Drosophila melanogaster: one gene and its partners. The protein of the gene in region 1 interacts with the protein of each later gene in a pairwise test. Each region holds a gene or a part of one and is shown on either strand. Other genes may lie near its edges.

Evidence for each region. Proteins that work in one complex are often made in the same cells at the same time.
Region 2: the proteins of hng2 (region 1) and Eip75B interact in a two-hybrid assay, tested with the Drosophila melanogaster proteins (one large-scale study listed by BioGRID).
Region 3: the proteins of hng2 (region 1) and Sox21b interact in a two-hybrid assay, tested with the Drosophila melanogaster proteins (one large-scale study listed by BioGRID).

Annotation. Positions count from the first base shown.
Region 1 is NT_033777.3:8,803,570-8,810,322, forward strand, and holds hng2 (hinge2), read left to right. Parts: upstream 1-2,752; 5' UTR 2,753-2,796; coding exon 2,797-3,010; intron 3,011-3,063; coding exon 3,064-3,614; 3' UTR 3,615-4,012; downstream 4,013-6,753. Other genes in the region: CCT7 (chaperonin containing TCP1 subunit 7), read left to right, coding at 2,224-2,450; CG9839 (uncharacterized protein), read right to left, coding at 1-1,557, 1,623-1,929; CG9837 (uncharacterized protein), read right to left, coding at 5,529-6,098, 6,160-6,213.
Region 2 is NT_037436.4:18,059,671-18,067,703, forward strand, and holds the start of Eip75B (Ecdysone-induced protein 75B), read right to left. Parts: upstream 5,027-8,033; 5' UTR 4,841-5,026; intron 1,784-4,840; exon of another isoform or gene 1,276-1,783; intron 1,185-1,275; 5' UTR 752-1,184; intron 605-751; 5' UTR 1-604. UniProt on the Drosophila melanogaster protein: Implicated in the regulation of ecdysone-triggered gene hierarchies. Probably plays a key role in mediating the regulation of the larval molt by 20-OH-ecdysone.
Region 3 is NT_037436.4:14,126,299-14,134,597, reverse strand, and holds the start of Sox21b (Sox21b), read left to right. Parts: upstream 1-3,273; 5' UTR 3,274-3,460; exon of another isoform or gene 3,461-4,040; intron 4,041-8,299.

The sequences.
Region 1 (6,753 bases):
CACTTCGTCCAATTGTCTGTCTGATTACTTTTTTGAGCTGCTCATGCCAGAGAAGGAAGCAGGGTTCCTGGCATAGACCCGGCTTATCGGGACAGGTGTTGCACATGTACCTGCTGAACTGCAGCATTCCGCCTTTGTGGCAATAGCGGCAGTTTTTCTTGGCCGGCTTCCCGTTCTGCTGGATAAGCATGGGTTCGTGTAGAATGGTCTTCAACCTGGGCTCGGGCACCGGCTTGTTCTTTGACCGTTCATATGTCTCTGGCTTCTGGATACTAGTTACCGGTTCGTTCGTCACTTCTTCTCTTAGAAGCGACTTTATGATGATCACCCGGAACTCCGAGTAACTTTTAAGATGTCCGACTCGCGCATTCTGGCCATTAGCAAAGTATAGCAAATAGGCATTGTACACGAGGATGTTGAGTAGGAAAATGGTCAACTTTATGTTTGCCTTCAGCTCCTTGCAGGCAGCTTGGTAGTGGATCAGGTGGTGGCGACCGTCGTTTCCAGGTCGTAGTTGAAACTCGAGCTCCTGGATCAACTTAGGTTTTGCATTTGTCTTTTGCATGGCCATCTCCTTGGAATAAATGGCCAAGCAGTCAGAGCTGAAGCAGTACAAGCTCTTTGCCCGTCGTCGCCATTTGGCCATCATCAGAGAAGTGGCATAGCTGGTGGAGATGCTGTTGGAATCCAACCGCTGGTGCACCAGTGCCTTACTGTTGCCATATCTATTCCTGTCCAGCAGACCAGTGCAATAGGTGCTTTTCTTGGCCAACTCCTGAGCCAGGCCGTAGCTTCCATAGAACTTTGAGGTGTACACAGTGCGTCCTCCATGGTAACCCTCCATTAGTTTCAGGACAATCTTGTTTCGGTGCTCCACCAACTGCCGGGAATTGCGTACCCATGCCGGTGCGTCTTCCTTCCGCACAATCTCCGGTAGAATCTTCACCACCAAACCGCTCTGCTCAGTTAGCATATGCAGCAGTAGTGCGTTGGTGCGGAATTTGTTTGGAAGTTCATCCTGGTATCTTAATGCACCCTTCCACAGAGTGATAGGTTCATTGAGCACCAGTTGCTGGCCACAAATGTATATCTCTTCCATACGCTCGTTGATAAAGTCTAGCAGTAGAGAGTTCTTCACTTTGGCTCTGCCCGCTTGTAGCTGCGGTGCATCAAAGTTAAGGCAGTGCAGCAGCTGCTGATACCGTTCCAGAGGAATCTTCCCAGAGAATCCGACGAGACCGTAAAACATGTTAGTGCTCCAGTAATCCGATAGGTGCTCCAGCTTCAGGTCACACATAAGCAGGGAAAGCGCCATAAAGATTTCCATTTCTTCGGCAGTTGTGGGATTGGACTTGAGCTCTCCTCCCTTTAGGTTGCAGCTTTGGGCCAGGGAACTGAAGAACTTGGAGCGATTTCCCAGCACTTGGTTGAAGTAGTGCTGTGGTCCCTGGAAGCGTTGTCCGAATTTCAGGCCACTCTGCTGGATGGGAAATTTGAAGAGCAGTCGGGAACCCGTCTGCTGGCTGGACCAATCTGGATCGTAGTCATCCATATCGTCTGGGTTTAAAAAGGATAATTTTATAAGTGGGGTCTTGAAATGACGGGAGGAGCACCCTTCTTACCCTGACAGAAGACATCTTCAGCTTGGTAATCGAGCTCTGAGTAGCCATCCTCGTCGGAATCACTCTCTTGCTGTTCCAATTCCAAGCGAATGGTGTTGCTGGCCGCCTGCTGCTCCGCCACCAGCTGCAATTGGAGTTCAGTGAGATCCGGCTTGATATCGGCCGTACTTAAATCGTAGTCTGCTAGCGCCGGATAGCCGTCCAAGGGTTCCGACTTGATGTCCACACTGCGTCGCTTCACCGGCGACCGGTGATCGTCCTGACGCGGCTTAAGTTGCTGCTTGCGCTTTCTTCCGGAGCTGGACATTTCGTTTGGCTGCGTTTTCTCTTCCAAATAATGTAAATACAGAGGAAATTTTAGCCGCAGCAACGCGTGTTTTTCTTCGACCTCACTGTCACTCGTCCTCTCTCACTCGAGTCACATGTGCTGTATGTTGTGCTCTTTCGCACCTTCTCAATTCGTTTATTGCGCGGGCTGTAAGCGGCGTTGCCACCTGAACGAAATGTTACCTGCAAAAATCGTTGGCGAATTCAAATCGGTCGTGTAATTTTGAACTCTAATTAATAATTATTATAATTTTATACATTTACCTTTTTACAGGAGGACAGTGGTACGGCGTCGACATCAACAAGGAAGACATTTCGGACAACTATGAGCAGTGCGTCTGGGAGCCGTCCATCATTAAGATCAATGCACTGACGGCGGCCGCCGAGGCAGCCTGCATGATCCTTTCCGTCGATGAGACAATAAAGAGTCCCAAGGCCGGAGAACCCCCGATGGCCGGCGGTGGCATGGGAATGGGCCGCGGAATGGGCAGGCCCATGTAAATAGAATCATTCAGAAATCCAGAGAACACTACACCCTAATCATCAAAACTCACTTGCATTTCTCTCCTAATTTAACACGTACACGTATTACTCGGTCATACCTTCGCATTTCGCACGCTTCGAAGCAAGAACAACAGCAACAATAATCCACTGACCTATCTGTATATGTTTAATAATAAAACACAAAATTGAAATTTGTATTTTCATAACATCAGAACGTTTTTAGTTTAAATGCGGGGCGAGGTGGCAACTCTGCGGGGAGTGCTGTTAAGCAGCTGCCCGTGGTGCTGTTAAACGCAAGCAACATATTGTCAATCCAATCCAACCCTTAAATAAACAATAAATAATGGGCAATCATAAAGTTCTTCGATCGGCAGGAAGCAATTTGCGCTATTCGATGTACGAGTTCATTGACGCGGTACACAAACGTTCTATTATATGGGAACGAAGCCACCCAAACTTCCATAACCGCGAACTCAGAGATGAGGCCTGGCAGCAAATTGGCCACGAGCTTTGCTCGAATTTTGACGACTCCAGCGAGCCGGAGAAGCAGGAAATAGGTAGGTGGTGGCTACCTTTTTGAGTCTATATCATACATAACTTCCAATTCCAGTTAAAACACTGCTCAAACGTTGGAAAAACACGAGGGACAGCTACCTACGGGTCAACCGACTACGTCAAAGTGGCGAGGAGGTGGCCAGAGCTTCCTACATCTACGAAAAGGAACTGAGTTTCCTGCTGAACGTGAAAGCAGAGTCGGAGGACGATGTAGAATCCTTGAAGGAGCAACCCAAGCCCCAGGCCAAACGGAAGCGAGTGAGCACTGCCGCACAGAGATCTGCAAAGACTCCACGAAAGAGAAACTCCGACCAAGAATCGAATATTGAGCCTGCCATCCGCAATCCAGCCATACCAAGCAACATAAATACGGTTCTGGGAGATCTGGGCTGCGCCAAGGAGGACACCGCCACTCCGGAAATCGCATATATTCCACAGTTACCATCAGATCCACCCTGCAGTACAAATACCGCCTACTTGTCCGCCGATCCTGATCAGGCCTTCTTCGACACCATTAAGCCTCACATGCAGCAGATGTGCGCCGATCGCAAGCTTGACTTTCAGATCGAGGTCCTGAAAATCCTACGAAACTTCAAGCCGAATTGAATATTCACTACAGAAGTCAAATCATTTACAAATGCATTTACAAGAAGGGCAAAATTCGTTTAACAGCAAGTTAACATAAGCAATAAGAATACATTTAATCGTTATCGTAAATCGTCTAATCTTTAGGGCGCGAAATTTAAATAATGAACTGTAATTTGTAATTTAATATACAAACAATAATATTCACAAACCAGGGGTTAAACTTTAATGCAACCAATGATTCAATTATTTTTTTTAGTTCTTAATAATGCGTCAAATAGTTTTCTCATAGTAACTTCTGTGTTTTGCGCAATGTATATATTATACGCTTACTTTTGTAATTTTTGATAATAATACAATAGTTGTAGAGTTATTTAAGACAATGAAAAAAACATTAAAAACAACATTAAATAATGTATAAAAAATATGCATTTTATTTTGTTTTAAACCATAAATTATCTAACGACGGCAATATATTTTTATACGTGGGTTTCAATATCAATTTCATACAACATGGATTTGTATGGAATTTCATATGAATATATATGCTCATATGTATATTAACTATGTATGCAAGCAAATTGTCCACATGTGTAATTGATATTTTTACATAAATCCCATGTTCTGTTATTCATCCCCCTAGCCACTACTTTCTTGGGCCGGATGCTGTCTCAATACATATTTATCGCCTGCAGCGAAATTTTAGTATAAACATAAACTGTCAAAACGATACATAAGCCATCGGATGGCCCATGTTCCAAAGCCGTTTGACCAGTTTCGGCTGATGTTGATACAAAAAAGAGTTGAAACCTGTATTCATACAGCTTGTACCTCTTATGCCAATCGAGTTTTCATTATGTATACCGATTTCTTCATGGTTTTTGTTCAACACAAAGGCACATTTATGGATTGTACGAGCGTATTTATAAGTCGACACTCCAGACGACACCCCTAAAAAGAAATCGCTGAAAACCGTTAAGGAACCCATAGGGGTAACACAGAGATTTGGATGCGGTGTCGGCTTTCAAGCGTTCCACACTGCTGGGAATTCCCTGAGTACCATCTATGGGGGGTACGACGATATCGTTACCCCGAATACCCGCCCCCACAATTCACCCGACAAATGGTACTCGTAACGTCCTGATGATGCCGTTCTCCTCGGGATCGCCCCATTCCATTTCCCACTTAACTGCATATGGTTTTTGTTAGTGGTTGTTTCGGGTTTCGGAAATTTCTGCCCGCGTTCGGGACCCTACCCTCCACTTCATCTATTAGCAACGGCTCTGGCAGCTGTTCTACCCTATTAAAAGGTCCCTTAGTTCCTCGATTCCGACTACCTGCATCTGCTGAATGGAAATGCACTGAAAACTTTATCGTATTTTCTTTTTTAAGTATTTTATTACTGTTATTTTGATTAGATTAAATGAATTGCTATGCAAGAAATGTAGATTCTACTGATAGGAAATCTACATCAATATCAATAAATCAATACTTCACGAAAATGATTGCAGGTGCAGTTTTTTAGGGAAAAATAAAACAAATAAAAATCAAGCAGAATTTTTGTTTAGGGTAAAATACTTATTTATCATGATTGCTTACTCTTCTAGGTCTAACTTAAATTTTTTGCAGTGTACAAAGGCATTCCCAGCGTGTGTAACGTACTTTCCAGCCTTAACGAAACCGGGCACCGAAGGGAATTTAGGGTATTCTACCCCTGGAATACCTCCCCTCGCATACCTGTAGCAATTCTGGGCATTGCAGTGAAATCGAATAATAGACAGGAAGTCCCTTCGATGTCTTTTATTCCTTTCAAGAGCCGAGCCGCTCTAGTAGATCATGGTGCAGCGATTGTGTCGACCCATGATGCTGGTCTTTGTTCTGTTTTATCCTAAAACTAAGTTCCTAATGTGGTGGTCCTAGGCATCTGAGCCCGACTCAGGTGGAGTTATCCAGAACAACCACCTGTGTGTTTTGGTATCTTCGCCAGGCACTCTCCGCCCTTTCCAAGTATTCACCGATCTCCTGTCGCTTGTTCAGAAGGTCGTACTTCTCTAGAGCCAACTTCAGGAGTACGTACTCCAGGCTTCGAATGCCTCCGAGATTGTTTGGATCCCTTAGGTTATCGACTAGGATTACGAATTTCTTGAGCAGCTCCACCAGCTGCCCAAAGTTGCTCAAATCGTCCAGATTAGCATCCACCTCGTTGACGTATCGCATACTCTGCTTAATCCTTCTGGCCAAATCGGTGCTCCTGCCAACCAGGGGTGAGAGCTCCGTATTCAGCTGTTGCACCGATCTGCGCGTATCGGTCACCTTCAGCAATGCGTCCTGATTATACTGATCCTGATCTGTCCACTGGGTCATCGGAGCCTTAGTAGTCGCTCCTTCGTTGTCCACCATAGATATCCGATCGTTCTCCACAATAATGGTCTTGTCGATGGTGTCGGATGCATTCGGCGGCTGCTGTACGTGAAAGTCCAAGGTGAAGTGAAACCGCATGCTACCCTATAAGGATTAGAAATTTTGTTAAGAAACATCCAGCAGGCTTGCACAATCGGAAACATGCCTGGACCAAAGTAAATGCTGCTAGGAAAACCAAAATAGTCTTAGAGGACCACATCTTGTCGGTGAACTGGGAAATGTTTGACTGATTCCAAGCTGAAATCTCACGATCAGACCACTTCATGCAATCCAAGCTCGACATCGACGCTTATCAAACCACGGGGTTATCACACATCGTTCCCACTTGACCGATAACAGATTCATTCACATTCAATGAGTTTTCTAGCTATGGGAATACATATTGCCAGACAAAGCGCAAGTCACGTGTTCGCCGAGATGAAAAGTCAATACAGTGAGGTGAGCGATTGCCAACCTAAAACCATTTCAAGGCGCTTGGAATAGCAAGTATTTCAATTTGCTGAAAGCTTCGTATCCAATATGACCTCTATGGAAACTAGTAAGTTCTTTGAACCTGCCGAGGGTATACAGAATTCAGAATTATCTTAAACTGACTAAACGAATGCCATATCATATGTGGTCTATTAATATTAATTAGTGGTAGTTGTATTGTAATAAAACAATGAGTATGCAGATTGTATGCATTATTGAGGGTGATCCAAAAAGCAGTTAATATTAATTGCCTGATATGGATATAGTT
Region 2 (8,033 bases), on another chromosome or scaffold:
GTTGTATGGAAAGTTGCGTTTGTTTGTTTTCTTTTTAATTGGATTTGATCCTTAATCACTTTTGCCTCACTTCTGCTGCCTTTTATCCTTTCCGCTGCCTAGCTCTTTTATTTTAAAATCAGTCTCTTCTTCTTAACGCGTGTTTTGTTGCTGTTTGTGGTTTTTTAGTAATTTGTTCGCTTCTGCTTTTGGATTATCAAAAATTTGTTTTGTCAGCCTTCAAAGTTGCATGAAAAAGTTGTCCTCTTCTTCTGTATTCTATTGTAATCTAGAGAATTTGTTGTTGTCCTTAGTCCTTACGTTTAGCTTAGCGTTGTTCCTATACCTGCCCACAGTTGCTTGATCATTACCATATGTCTAAATATATACGTGTATCTGTTGTATTCTGGTTGAGGCTTCTTCTGTTGACGATGAGATGAGTTCGACTGAGTTGCGTTAAGTTGAGTTAAGTTTGATGATCTCGAGCTGAGATTTCTGAGGCTGATTCCGAGTCTGAGTTCGTTTTAGTTGCTAATAATACTTGATGGCTTATTGTTTGCTGATTTATGCTACGCCTGATCCACAGCAGCGTCTGAGTATGTTTGTAGGTATTTCTTTGAAGTAGCTGAAAGGGATTAATCCTATTAAAATTACATCGAAAATCACATATTTTGTATAGCTCCTTAAAGAATGTGATTACTTTCAAAATAATAAGGATTAATAAGGATTACATTATCTTTAATTGATTAAGAATTTTATATTTAACACTTACTTTTTTGCAAATTGAAGTATATCGCTCGATTGTTTGCTGAATTGATTGATGTATTGATTGATTAAAATCGTATCGTGTATAAGAATATATATATTTAATGATCGTATTTACGTGTGTATAAGGTTTAATCTTTGTTTGTTTATAAATGAATTTAATTGTAATATATATTCACTGCTTACACTACTTTTTATTTTAAACAAGTTACACGATTCACAAGATTTATTATTATGATTAGTATCAGTAATTTTATTCCAAAAATATATGTGTTTATTTGTATAGATATTTCTTAAGATTTTGCACATGAAACACAACGCTTTTGTTGCCTTTTTTGTTATAAACTTTTTAACCTGAGCATTAACTTCTTTCACTTTGTTTTTAATTAGATTTCCGTGTTTATACTTCCATGTAGTAGTTGTTTCTTTTTTAAACACCTCTAGAAAAATATAATTAGTTGATTTTTTGTATATTGGTTTGTGTTTGTTTAGTGGTGTTGTGTGAGCTTTAAATGGATGCTTAAGGGCCACTTTTTATTAAATTTTGTTTGTTTAACTGCTTTAAGCTCATTCATTGGGAATTTTCACTTTGATTTCAATTTGATTTACTTCGTTTGTTTTATTTTTTGTGGTTTTGGGCTCTTACACTTGTCTCTTTTGGCATTTGACCTTTGTGTTAGGCAATCGCAGAGTGAATTTGTTTATTAGGAACAACTTATTGAAGCACATTGCGAAAGGATGACGAATATAATGATTTCGTAGGAATCGCACAGCTGTTTTAGCGATATCTCCGATTTTCTGACATTAATGCTAGCAAACTTCTCTCCTCTTTTTCGTATATCGTATGGCCAACAGCTGAGGGTCGAATTCGAGTGGGTGGTCGGTAGCAACAGCTGGGCGCACGGGAAGGTCGTTTTCAGGGCGGAGTTGCTGTAGCAGCGGATATTTTTGGAGGACTGCGGTTCAAGAACAAGGACGAAGACGAGGTCGCGGCCGAAGGGGGCGGAACAGGACAGGATAGGACCCAAGCAGCTGTTCGGCCTGCACAAGGACAAGGACGCTCACGAGGCGCTACGGATACGATACGAGCACGATACACGGACACGGTTACGGCCACGGCCACGGCTCAATGTGGAAAACACTTGGCGCCCTTGACAATGGGCTATCGCTTATATAAGGGACCTTGGCGAGCTCCCATAATTATTGCACATTTCCCCGATTTATTGACACTATATGTATATTTATTATAATATTTTTCAATATATTTTTTCCTTATATTTTCACTCTCTGCTCGGCCAGTGGGGCTTTGTTTATTTGCTAGAATCGCGACAGGTTGGAATATATTCGCAACCGTTGCGTTGGCCGTACTTTCTCTGACTGAAACAGCAAAAGCTCTGAAAGCCAGAACAGAACCAGAAAAGAGCGACAAAAAAGCGAGTCGGTTCTCGCGCAAAAAGCTGCACAATGAAAGTGAAAACCGTATGAAAAATGAGAGAATCCGACTGCAAAGATGGGAAGAATTCGAAAGCGAGAGGCTCGGAGAGAGAGAGCGACTGCGTACGAGGAAGCTGAGGTGAAGAATACGAAAAGCAAAACATAAATAAACAAAAATAAACGCGAATGAGCCAGCCAAAAGAGAAGAACGCACACGGATTTTTCTAAACTTTTTTTTTGCGATGGGGGTTAACAAAATTTGGACTGGGGCAGTTTCAAGGGGGAGTTTTTGGAGTTTTTTGTGGCTAAGGGTTGATTATTCGGGGGTTGCTCGCTTCCCATTTGGGGTTTCACTTGACGGGACTCAACTTCCGTGTTTCAGTGCGTATGAGTAATGTGCGTGTGGAGAGATTTTCGTGGGGTTGCGCTTTTCGGTTGGTCTGGGCTACACTGGGTTATTTTCTCTGGGTAAGGGCAGGGTTACGCATTGAGGTAGGTTCGGGGTCTGCTCGTAATTGATGAATGGAGCTGTATTGCCAAAAAAGGGAATATTGCGCATAAAATTAAATTAGTTTGGGTTGGGGCTTGGCCTTTTATGTTTTGTTGAAAGTTTTTGAATGTTCATCCTGTAAAAAGTGACTACAAACATTTTATCTGAACATAAATTTATAAAAACAAAGGCTGTTCTACTTTAGTCTTGTTACAGATAACTTTAATTTAATAAATTTATCATTTTCATTATCACTAAGCATCAAAAGTTTAATACTTAATAAGAAGTATTATCAACATCGCTTACTTTCACCTGTCTATAACACGAAATCAGAGCAATCATCTGGCATTGGCGAAACAAATGCATATTTTTTCCAAGCGCCATGAGATGATGCCTCATGCCCCACAATTCCCTGTCTATTCGATGGCGGCCATATAGCGGAAGTTTCCGCAAACGTCAGTGGGGGAGACCTCCAGAAAAATGTACGGAGATACAAACGCTAGGCGCCGAATAAACCGCTATTTGCAAACGAGCAAAGGCGATGACACTCGGCGTGCAAGTGTGTGCACTCGCGTGTGCATGACAACATTCAATAGCAGCGTAATCAACAAACAAAATGCAACCTCACGAGCTGCAACCATTTGACAGAGTGTATATGTTGAACAGGCTTTTAAAATATAACAATTTATTTTAATAAAACTTTTAATAAAATGATGCTTTTATTCGAATATTTTGCAATCACATACATAGTTGTGTTTAATTGATTTCAAACATCTTATTTAATTTAAAAAAAATTGGTTAGTAATAATAATTAAATCTATGTTGTTAGCCACAGTAAATTTAAGTGAAAATCAACGTTACGGTTAAATAAAAAATTATACTTTGATTACACATTTTCTTCAAGTGCAAGCCCACACACAGACTACAATCAAAAACGCACACCACAGCACGAGGCGGCAATGTATTGACCTTAACACTGAACGACATCGCACACACTTGCATTGCAAAATAAGAACTTGAAATAGAATAAATCGAGCAAGAGAGCAGTGCAAATAAAAAGAGAGCGCCGAGAGAAATAGAGCACGTGAGTGTATGTGTGTTCAAGTTCACCCACACCAAGGCGAGTCTAACAGGGCGTCTACAGTTGAGCAAGCAGCGCTCTGTTAACGGGCTGCAGATCCCCTGTTAGCTTTCCTCCTCTGTTTTCTTGGGGTCTCTGCATTTCAGCGGAGTTGCCAGGGGGCGTTGGGTGGTGGGGCTGCGTTCTGTTTGCAGGGGGTGTGGCTCGCCTCTAATGAGGGTTGCAACTCCAGACGGAGTTTCATCCGAGTGGAATGAGTCAGACAGCCGGGGAATGGGTCCAAAAAAGGAGCTTATTCAGCAGGAAGGATAAGTGCTTTCGAGTTCGTTTTTTTTGGTCAATAAATTTAACCATCTAATTGAGGACTTAGTTACGCCTGATATCCGAGAGTTAAAGGTCATGCGACCCTTATACATGGTTTTGTGCAATATAAAATGATCACTTTTCTATCTTATGTTTGTCGGTTTTCGTATTGTTCTGTTTAGTTTAGCAACCTGCTTTTAATTTACTTTTAACTTTTAGGCTTTCGATTGTATGAACTGTTAAGTACTTCGCAAACCTTTGTTCAACTATTTCAAATTTTATATTTTTACTTTTTGCTTCGTTTATTATTTTAAAACAATTTGAGAGCATTTCTATGCACATTTTTCGTTCTTGATATTATTTGACCGTTTTTTATGCTTTCATGAGTCACATAATGCTTATACATATGTATATGCTTAACATCGTTCAGTTATGCGCAGTTAAGTGAATTTTGTTGAATGGTTCATGAGTTTAAGCATAAGTTTTCTATTTAAAGATAGATCAGTTTCACAAATCCTATATATAAAGGATTTCTGTTAGTTGAATTATTTTCAATGACGACGAGTGTTAACTTGCACACAATAATATGTTACACCATATTTTTTTATAGATATTTCTGTATTTAATATTGTCACAGCTTAAAATTTTAAACTTTGGCAATTGTTTGCACTATTCTGATTGTGATTGAAAAGACTGTCCTTGTGCTTCCCTTGTTACTTGTGATATTTATATAGCATCGAATTGGCACACAAAACTCACACAACTCTGCCTTAATCCAATTCACGTACAAAGAGTTCACCACTTATTCGGACGCATCACGCAGATACTTTTTGTATCTGCATTCAGAGGATTGCTATTTGTCCCGATCGAATTCTGGTGCTAACAAACGAAAGTTAACCGCCGATTGGTAAGACGATTGCGCAGAAGAGGAAAAGCGCGACAGAGGACGGAACGCGACGGTGACGGTGCGTTCCACATGACGTATTCAAAATGACTGAGACCAGACCGAGACTGGACTGCAAATTTTCGCAAAAGTGAAAAATTCTACTTTCAATATGAAAACGAACTGCGCTGTCGCCGTCGACGCCGACTGCGCTGCCTGGGCGGGAGTTGTGCAGCGGCAGCGCACTGTGGGTGTGGGTAAGGTAGGTCGTGGTATGGGAATGCACAGTGGCTACAGAGAGAGAAAAGGGAGAGCACCATCACCATTACAGAGAGTGATAGAGAGAAAGAGCAGAGCGGAAGGCCGACAGAGCCAGAACCTGCAGCGAATGCAGAGAACAAAGCGGAGCAGAGAAGTCAATGTACAAAGCAGATTGGGGGTGCAATGGACGCCGAACATGGAACTCAGGCGCGGACGTGTACGTCGCCACAGTGGATGCCCGCTAGAAAGAAATCGAAATCATGCTAATTTTTCAGTTTAAGAAATCTGAAATCTTGAAACTTGAAAAATTATTTAAACAATTAAACAACTAAACAAGTTCTTTAGAGCATTATGTTAATTTTTTTTTGGTTTAGCTAAATTAGAAAGAATTTTTTAGAAATTTGCTGATGTTTTCATGTGGAACATATGGAAGGTGTGTGTTGATTTCATCCTTTAATAACCCAAATATATTTTACTACTAGCTTGGAAAAAAATAAAAATCCCTACCAACCTATATTAAAATTTTTAGGAACTCATTAAATGATGAACTATCAATAAAAAGAAATAATAAAATAATCATTATCCAACTAGACAGGCCAAATTAATGATCTCGATATCGCAACATTTCAAGTTGCCCTGTACCGGGCTTTCCAAGCTTATTTCCATGTTTCTGACGTGTACAGTAGTACATATCGTGGTTCCCGCCTGGAGTGACTTGCCCCTTTTGCGTGCTTCTTTTGGGGTTGCAAAGTTTTGGCATTCCGGGAGTTGTCGTAGCACAGAAATTAAAAATAATTGCAAAAAGTCGGCGAGTGGGTGGATTTCTCGGGTTTTCTGATCCTGGTTGTCGGTCCCTGTCTGTCTGGAGTTGCAACCCCTCGGGCAACGAAATGAAAGCAAACTTCAGACTCTTGGACTTGGGGTGTGGAAAGCGAGTGGGTATCAAAGGGCCGCGAAGCAGAAAAGGCGAGAAAGGAGTAAGAGGACAAGCGGTTTCCTAGACACTCGATGGGCTACTTTTTGTTTGGTAAGGTCGGTCCCAGGCAGAGATACTTCCTTTATGAGCTTCGATTTTAGCCAGCATCGGGGGTTGCACTCTTATGGATCTGGCTTTCATTGTCTTTCACGCTGTGGGATAGGTTTGAAGGGAACAGCATCTTGTAACCTTGATTTTCTTATTTGCCATTGTTGTTGACAAGACGGGATTAACTTTCAAGAACTTATCATCACTGTTCCCGGACAGCGTTTCAAGAAAACCCCCCGTGACTACACTATTATAATTTTTTAATAGAAACTCTGAAATTGCATATTGACTATTTTATTTTATGGAATATCGATGCTTATTATTTTAAGTTTTAACGACTGTACAAATAAACTATAGCAAATGTAATTTAACCTTGCAAATACCACTGCAGACATTTGCCAATTCAGGTTCAGTCTTCTGGGGCATTTTGGAACCGAATCTGTCTCCTTGAGGACCTCCAAATGCAACGAGGGCGTTGCATTGAGACACTGGCCCTGGCAGCCCTAATACAATAGTGGTCAAATACCATGGTCAATGACAGCGTCGTGAAATTTGCAACTGGCGACACGTGGCAGGGGCAACCAGACGCCACCCTTGGTCCTTTTAAGAGGATGCCCCCGTCAACCCAATCTGAATCCAGTTAAAAACGTCTCTCTTTCTCTCTCTCTGCATAGAGCGGATGTGCAAAAGCGCATGTTTGCGAGCTGCATCGATGCACTTGCCACACGGCTGCACGAAGGTTAAAAGAGTTTTCAGGGGCACTACGAGACTTACTACTGCTCCATCGGGCGAAGACCAAGGACCAAGGACCAAGGGCAAGGACACGCAGGCATGCGCATTTCCGCATCCGAAGTCGGGTCCTTGGCTCTGGTTCGGTTTCGTATTCGGATCCATGGCTGGAAGTGCCTCATTGCCAAGGTCCCAAGCGTGGGGAAGGCAGTGATGCCCACTATAGACTGATACAAGTTCCTGTATTACCTTATGATGCATATCTAAGCCAAAATTTCAGTATAGTTAAACAACTAGTTCAAATTGCTTAATATAAATTGTATGATAGAGGGCACCATTTTAAATATTTTTCCATCCAACGCTTAAATACTACAATTCTATTAAGTGAATTTTCACTTACCCCTCATTTTACAAAATTGTCAGTCATTGTTAAACATTACTGTACAGTTCGATGAAGCAGGCGTAAAGCTCCTGTAAATGACATTGGGTAGTAGGTGGCAGACATGGGAGAAAACAAATATAGTGGGTACCGGGTGAAGCGGATTAATTTCAGGGCTGCACACTGCAGTTCTTTTGCATTTCCTTGACAAATTGTAAACTGAATGCAACCGATGCAGTGCAAGGATATATGGCACACACGTGTCACCCACACTCACGCGGTCGCTAAAATTCGACATTGCACCGATGGTCATTAAAAGGTCAGCAGAAACAAGTCCTTGCCCAGATCCGAACTAAAATGCGCAAATGTTTGGCACGCTTTAATGTTATCATCATAATATTTTAAAATATGTAAATTTAACTTTTATTTATAACAATTGATACATTTTGTATGTGAGGATTGCATTTTAGAAGCAACTCGCAAAGAATAAATACAGCAACATATATTCTTGAATAATAAATATTGGGTATAATACGTAATGAGGTTCATATAGAAAATATTTTTTAGCAAGCATTCTGTATCAATAATAAAAGATTTTTCCATACATTTTCTACTTAAGCAGACACTCACTGTGATTAAAAGTAGTACGCAATTAAACATAGAAAAAAACATTGTCTACGCCAATTAGTAAAACTGTTGACCAGA
Region 3 (8,299 bases), on another chromosome or scaffold:
TTTCATCTGCTGAACAGTTCTAATCAACAGTTTTTTTTTCTAGATGCACGGATGTGAAAAAAACGTGTACCTTTTGTGGTCTTTCTACGAAATTCCCCACATGTCCCAAGAACAAACCCCGAAACCATATGAGTTCCTGTTTATCTGCTATCTGGCCTATCAATCGGTGTGTCATAACTGCATTTGGTTTTGTCAGTTTTCGTACGGTCTTTTTTTCTCCTTTGGTTTATCAATTTGCTGCAAATCTGGGCATTGTTTGCGATGTGAATCTGGAAGGTTTCGCAAGGATTAAACGCACTCAGGCTCGACGATGGCAATCTCATTTGTTTGCGACAATTGTTTGGCCATCGATGGATCGATGCTGATTTCGATGCTTCGATCGTTTTTGAACCAAATCTGTTTGCCTTGTGGCCTATGAAATTGTATCCGATGTTTATCTATAAGGGCAGAGCAAAATCCGCACGGTGAAATATATTGCGGAAGGGGAAAGGGCTTCTTTTAGAAGTCCCAAGCGGTTGCCAAACACAACCGAAAATTTGAATGATTTTCCTCGTGCTTTTTGCTTTTTGATTAACATTAATGAGCGACAAAAAGTGCAAAAATTTACATGGCAACGGCGGCATCTCTGCCCCCATTGTTGTCCTGGTCTTTAGAAAATTTTCAATTCACCGCGACAGGAGCTTGTCAGGAGTGTGTGGAAGCCTCATCCACCTCGTCAACCTATCCATCCCCAACAATAACGATTTAGGCATTAGAGCTCCATTGAAATCTTTTTCGTTGCGATTGTTGAGCTTCATTCTGCAGGCTTAGGGCCTTGAAGACGGGCTCAACAAGATGGCAAATCCCCCATCTGGCTGTTCTCATCACAATATTCTCTATCTAAGTTGCAGTCGGTGCATTGTCAGCGCTTTTTGTCTAACTACTCATTAACATTTATTTGCAAGTGCAGAGAATGCTATGGCAAATGCAAAAGCAACTGCCATGATAAATATGACAAACAGACAATGGCCAGATAGACAAACAGAAAACAGAAACTGACAATGGAAAAATGCACTGCGAAAAAAGGGGGTAAGGTGATGAAAGGGATAGAGAATGGTCGACATGGTAGTAGAAAAACAGAAATTTGTATTCGCCCCAACGGAGTGTTCACTGTTCAGGTTATTATACCTTTAGATATATTGTAGCTTAACATGAATATTATAACGAATTTTTTAGATTTTTACGAAGGGAACTTTAAAAAAAGGTGTATTTTATCATACTTTAACGAAAAACTAATTATCCATTTAACTTGAATATCTGACAAACCCCATTCAATAGCTAGCACAGCCATTTTAGGCATTCAGGTGAGTGCAGTGTATAATTACAATGGCTGACTAACTGAGGAAGCGAGACAGACAGAGCGAAAGAGAAGGGGACATAGCCAAAGACAATGGACACAACCAGTACATAGAGTGCGACAGGGAGCGGTAGAAGACGAGAGAGCGAGAGGGGAAAACCAGGTCCAAATAAATGGAACAGTTGCAGTCCATCCATCTATCCATCCAGCAAGCCCTTCGTCACTCACTCAGTTCGTCAAGTTGGGGCTGGAAAAATGTGCGCCATTGTTTCCAACTTGCAATTGTTTGCTGACAATTGGCAAAAAGGCAGCAAGTACTCCTCTTTTCTCAGACTTTTCCACTATCTCCCATGTAGGAAAGGCTTAGGTCATTAGAGTCAAATTAAATTAGAGTGCTAGTAGGTAGTTTCATCTTATAGCAGGTACACACTGTTTGCATTTGTCATTAGTTCGTTGTTAATTAAAACGAAGCCAAAGTGCCAGACGACAGAACTCGACACGACAGAGTGAATGGAAATCAAAATGCGCTAAAAACCGCCCTGAAACAATGGCAACACCTGCGTAATGCCCTGGCCCACCCAAAACCCTTTACACAAAAAGTCCTGGAACAAAGCCCGACCAAATGCGAATGGAGTTGGGACTCCGGAGTTACGAGCCGTTGTCCTGGCAACGCCACCACCACCAAAGCAAATTAACAAAACAATAATGTAGACACGAAAAATTGCAAAGCAATAGTAGGCACTTTGCAGGACTATATACTCCTAAAGTCCAGGTGTCATCATGCACAGATATAAAAAAATTAATTTTGGAAATGGTATTTCATGTGGGTCAAAACACTCAATCGTTAATTGTCATTCCAGTACAGAACGTGTTTTTTAGATCAAAATGTAGTACTATGTGCGAATCTACAACAGACACTACTTTAATCTTTGTCTGAGCCAAAGATAAAGTGTCCCAAAGTGGTCTGTCTGGACCAATTTTGGACTATGGCCACCTTGGTTAACATATCCACCATTTTGAGCTTGGGAATTGGCCAAAGGCGAATCGTAGTTGCGGGCCAGATGTCAGGCTCAGATCTCCACGGTTCAGCTCGATTCAAAAATAAATGTCCATTAAGATTAGTTGATTTTGCTTTCGATAGTTTGTTTTTCACCTTTTTTTTATTTTTTGGACGCTCTTTGCTGGTCTCTAAGCAAATGCGGTAAATAATCGAGAAACTCCCGAAAAGCTCACTCCCAATGGTGGCACCTCTTACCAGTAAAGAGACCGTCGTAGACCCCCACTTTACCCCCATTTTCCACTTGGCATTTCATGTAACACGAAACCTTCCCCAACCAGAAGCATTCCAATTGGAAACGCCCATCATGAGACTCGTTGTTTAGAGTGAAATGGCTATGGTGGCTTAGTAGCTACTCCGTTTATCTCGCTCGCACTCCCACGCAACACCTGCTCTGGTTGACCGCCCTGCCTCTGCATTCTGCATCCCTTTCTGTCTGACATTTTTTATCTCTGTTGCTCTCGTCTTTTTTTTCCTGACGTCGCAGTTCTTGGATTTTTTTTTATTCTTTCCTTCACGAAATGTCACCTGGTCGTTGGGCCTCTCTCTCACCAATACAACGATATTTTTGCTCTCAATTTTGAATTTGTTGTGGATGTAGTTTCTTTATAAACAGGCTTATAAAAAACATTTAACAAACCAATAAGAAAGAAAGCTCTCGGAAAAAGTATTAATCCAGAGCGAGAGAGAACACAAGCTTTTGCAGAGAGGATTTGCTGAGTATGTGTGTGTGTGCTTCTGTGGAGCGATACTGTTACATAGCAGCTGTCTCACCGCCCCACCTGCCACGCCCCCCGCCCCATTCGGTGACTGAAAGACTCGTTTTTTGGCTCGTGTGTTTTTGAAGAGAGCGCGCGCCAAGTTTTTAGTTACGCGTCGGAACGGATCCGTTGAATAGCCGCCAAAGCGCGCTTAGATGCAGCAACAGCCAACTTGGCCAAGAAGAGCCGATCAGCCAACAGCTAGCGACGGTTTTAGCCCCCTCACAAGAAACGCCAAGAAACAACCGATATTCGCAAAAAAAAAATACAAAGGATAATACTAAAAACATAAACAAACTGTTCTCGGTAAATATCCCAAAGTAAAAGTGAATCCTAAACAAACCAAACTTTTCTTTCCCATTTAACTAAATAATAAAACACAAACCAATTCAAAAAACAGTGCTCATATGATATCAACTTTCAACGCTCGTAAAGTGCTCATAGAAATGAAACAAAATACAAATCCAAATAAAGCAAAGCGATTTAAAAGTCTCATAAAGTTTTGAAATCCTAAGCTACTTATTTATCTTGCAAACTTCAAATCAAACAAGCTCCATTCTTTGTAGCATCAAAACATTGGATGCACCATAAGTATCTTATCGATGAATGGAAAGCAAACAACACACGTCAACATAAACTAGTGATATCCATTGGAAAAGTGTTCGTCAAACAGATTCTGTTACGAAACAGCTCAAGACCATAAAAGTCAACAAATTCAACATTTTATGGCAGTTCGGAAAGTGGAATTCATAAGCGACAAAAACAAACCATAAACACATATTATCCAAATAATTCGGTAGTATATTCCGCATATATGCTGCCATCGAATATTTGATTCCAATCGCCGGAAAACGGGAAATTTAAAGGAAATGCAGAACTCTTCGAGGTAACTTCATTGAAGCCAAAACATTATGGATTCTTTAGTTAGTTGTTTAACTTAGCTGCTTTGATTTTAATTAGCAAAACTACATATAAACACATTTACTTACATTTTTTTAGTAAAAGTAAAATATGATCTATGATAAAGTCTGATCCCATAGAACTGAGCATAAGTCTTAAAATTGTTTTCCAAGTTAATTGAAATTACTTCAAGTCAGAAAGCAGGTAAAAAATCAATTAAAAATCCCTTTAACCCTTTACAAATTTCATTTAATTCACCGCCGTTCAGAACGCAATTTGAACAACTTTTCTTGACCATCAATTAGGTAAACACGGAGAGAGCTCCACATAATGAGTCTGAGTGCGTCAGATACAAGGGGAATCAACAGATTTTATTGTTTGGATAATTTCAGGATTTTCCTCTTTTCATTTTCTGCGAAATCATTGTCGGAATCTTTATGCCCCACTCGAGGTGTGTTTACTTTTGCTTTCGATCTTCCACTTGAATTAAAGCAAGCTCGTTTTCTTTCTCTGAGGGGCATTCAAAGTTGTTTGGTTAACTTAATTTCGAAATATAAATGAAAACCGACTCAAGGTATGTGAAAAGCCGCAATGAAAAGAGAGTCAAAAGCACCAGAGAATTTGAAATGACGCAATTAGAGCAAATAATAGTAAAAGAAATAGGGAAAAACAACGTATGTTTATTAATATATTTACACAAAATGTGACAACAATTGAATTTAATGTGACGCGCCCCCATCATATAGAAATCGACTTTGGACCAGCACACAAAAAACCCAATTGTGCAAACAGAGTTTTCTGAAATTATTTTGCGCACCAGATGTCAATCGAATATTTTTACGCCATTCTTTTGGCCATTGTGTTCGCTTTATAAATTTGCTCAAAAAAACAGGCATAATCCAAAGAAGAGTATGAAAAAATTCTAATTAATACCCGGCTGTATCAGCACACATATGGTTAGCTGACTTTGTATCGGTTCTTTTTCTTTTCGATAGCCCTTTGGATAGCCCTTGGCACAAACTTGACACTAAACCTTGGAGGAGCAGGGTATGTGGTTATCGAGACACTGGCACGTTTACGAGGCGATTGTTGCGAGTGTGAAAGTTCTTAATTACAAACATTAGGGGGCCCAGCGACTTAGGGCCCTGAGAAGATCCGATCGCAGCGGGCGGGCAAGACGACACTTTTGAATGGAGGGTCTGCTGGGACCGAAAACCCGGTGCGTATCCGCGATACATTTCAACACAAAGTGGAGACACTTAAAGCTCTACCTGTGTTGAAGACGAGGTGGAAGACTGCAGACCGCGAGACTCCTCTTCGCCGCTAAAGAATGAGCAGAAGAATATGGCTGGGGGAGAGATCTCGGGCTCAGCATGTGGCTAAGCCGATCATAATTCTTGTTTGACATACCAACAAACGGATGAACAAATGAACGCGAAGCAGCAACAACACGGCCAACTTGGTCGGGGGTTACGAGTGGATCTATATGGCCCCCGAAACTCAAGTGGCCAGCGGGTTAATTTTACTCCTACTGCGATACGATACGAAGTCCGAAACAGAAGAACGGCTTCAGCACTCGATTTCCATGAGAAAGAGTCGGACATAAGGTGCCTCTGGTGGGTTATCTATTAAGGCTACTAGATTAACACCCTGAGAAGACCCACGCTTTTGGGTTTAACGGTTACATTTCCGTTACAAATAAATATCGGAGCTGCATTTCGGTCTGCGTGGAGGTGCAGCGAATCAAAAGGAGGAGCTGGCATATTCACAGCAAATAAAAATATCTGGAGTGCAATTTGTGCACAGCTGGTGGTGCAACCGTCGATTCGGATGGTGGCCCTGTGGTGCAACTGATACTGCAACTGCGACACTGCACCACATCGGAACAAGTGTTATGTCCACATAGTCATTTTCGGTTTTATTGCCATTTCAATTACTAGAATAATCACAAAATTAAATTAGTTCGAAAATAAAAATCCAAACATAAATGCAACTTCATATCAATTGATATATGCGTAGTGTTTTCAAAATATGAAATTTAGCGTATACCTTGAGTGGAGGCACAAATAAACATAATCAATTCATTTTTCTCAGTGTATTCTGCCAATTCGCAACATAAAAAGGAGGAGCAAAAATATGGAGAGCAACTTGACAACACAGAAATTTGTTTGCACTCCATAAGGATTACAAATATGCGTGTCCCTTTGCTAACCGCTCCCCGTTCCCAGCTCCCCCTTTTCTTTTAATATAAATTTCATGCTTAATACGCATGCTTGGGCAATTTTTACTTTAACACCAAGTGGTAATGCCCGGAAGCAGTACAGATGTCGCCTCGCATAGCCCAACGCAAGTTATTGACCACGATGCGTTGCATGGCCAGAAATGCCAATGAACAGGGCCAAAAAGAGAGACTGCGGAATATGGCAGCAGAGAAAAAACAGTCGAATTGGACAGATAAAGATAAATAGTTTCGAACCACAGTTGGCCACTTCATAAACCCAAGGATATTCCAAAATTATTGAGTACACGTAACGATCCAGAAATAGTTTTATGTTTTAGATTTATGAGTCTCAACAACTTTTTAGTAGCTTTTTATCTACTATAGGCTGTAAATCCTAAAAAATTATATTTTCTAAATAATTTAATAAGTCTTTAGCTTTAATAAAAGCAAGCAACTAATAGTTTATCTTGTACAAGCCCTATTATACATATACATTTTGCAATACGTACAATATGGGATCGCACTTACCTCCTTAAGTAAACAAAGAATGCTAAATGTATGCTACTTAAATAATTTCTTGGTGATTATTTTAAGAAGCTTAGCTATTTATAAAACAGATGATTTAAACATAAAGATCAAGAAATGTGTCAACGGCATTGTTTCTTTTGAAAATATTACCACGTTTTAGTGATACAAAATATTTGAATTATCCCAACTGAAAACAACAACCACTTTATTTATCTTTTAATAAGAACGCTTAAGTGTCCTCCCTAATTAAAATGATTAGCAATGATCATGATTATTCAGATGTAATACTGATAAACTTTAACTAGAAAGTGAATTAACCTGATAAGTTTTTACATGAATTTTAAAGGAATCCAATTCAATTCATACTGCAAGCAGTCCACTTTAATTAGCTGACTAGCCACTCAGATATAATTATATTATGAATTATTCCCGTTTGCGTTCGCCAACAACTCGCAGTCGTTTCCCTCCCCTACGCCTTGTGACCCCTCAATGCTCATTGGGGCATTGTTAATCAATTAACTAATTGATTTCAGCTCTTAAAAGTATGTCGTCTGAGGCCCATTCTTCGGGGACAAAAAGAAAACAATGCCGAGTGGAGTCGTGGACTTTTGGGCCAAAAAACCCACTTGCGAGCCGCGCTGGCGGTTGCCACCTCAACTCGTCCAGAATCGGACTCACTCCTTTTCAGCGCCCATTGTGTGGGCCAAATGTCAACCCTTAAAACCGACCGGGATGCACAATAACACAACAACAAATGAGACGACTACGACGACGTCGTCGTCCATCCTTTCCATTATGCGACGGGGCACTTGAAACCCATTTCTTTCCCATTTTACATTTTTGTGTACTCTATTTGCACCCGAGCCGCTTGTTTTGGACACGCTGGAATGAGCTGGTCATGTGGCGGTTCATGGGCTTCAATTATGGGTCCTTTCGATCCCACATGTGCGTGCATTATAAGCGGGATTTACGTGGTCCACTTGATGCCCCAGCTCCTTCCGCAGAACGTGTTAAATACGGCAAGGCAAGGGGAACGGGGAAAAGGGTCAAGAAGCCAGCGTCCGGCTAAACGCTTTCAATTTGTTTAATGGTCCCTTTCGGATTCGCATTCGGGCTCGGATTTCCTCGTCCTCCTCATCAGGATCTCGAGGACAATCGAGTGCGGGTGTGCCAGGGACATATGCCTCAACTGAGTGCGAATCCCCATTCTACATGCACATATATGGCCTGCTATTTGGCTGGCATTATCCTCGGTAAATGTGTCATCTGCAGTGGATATTTGCATGGATTGGACGTTGGTCTTATCTCGAGAAGTTTTGCTGCCCATTTTTTGGAGAGCTAGAGTTCCGAGCCATTAGGTCACCCAGGAGCTTAGACACATAAAAGGATATTATTTAGGGTATGAGGACACGTGTTTTTATTAGGCAAACACAATTCAAGAGGAAAATTCAATACGCAAAGTAACCTCAAAAAATCTTAGACCTACAAAAAATGCA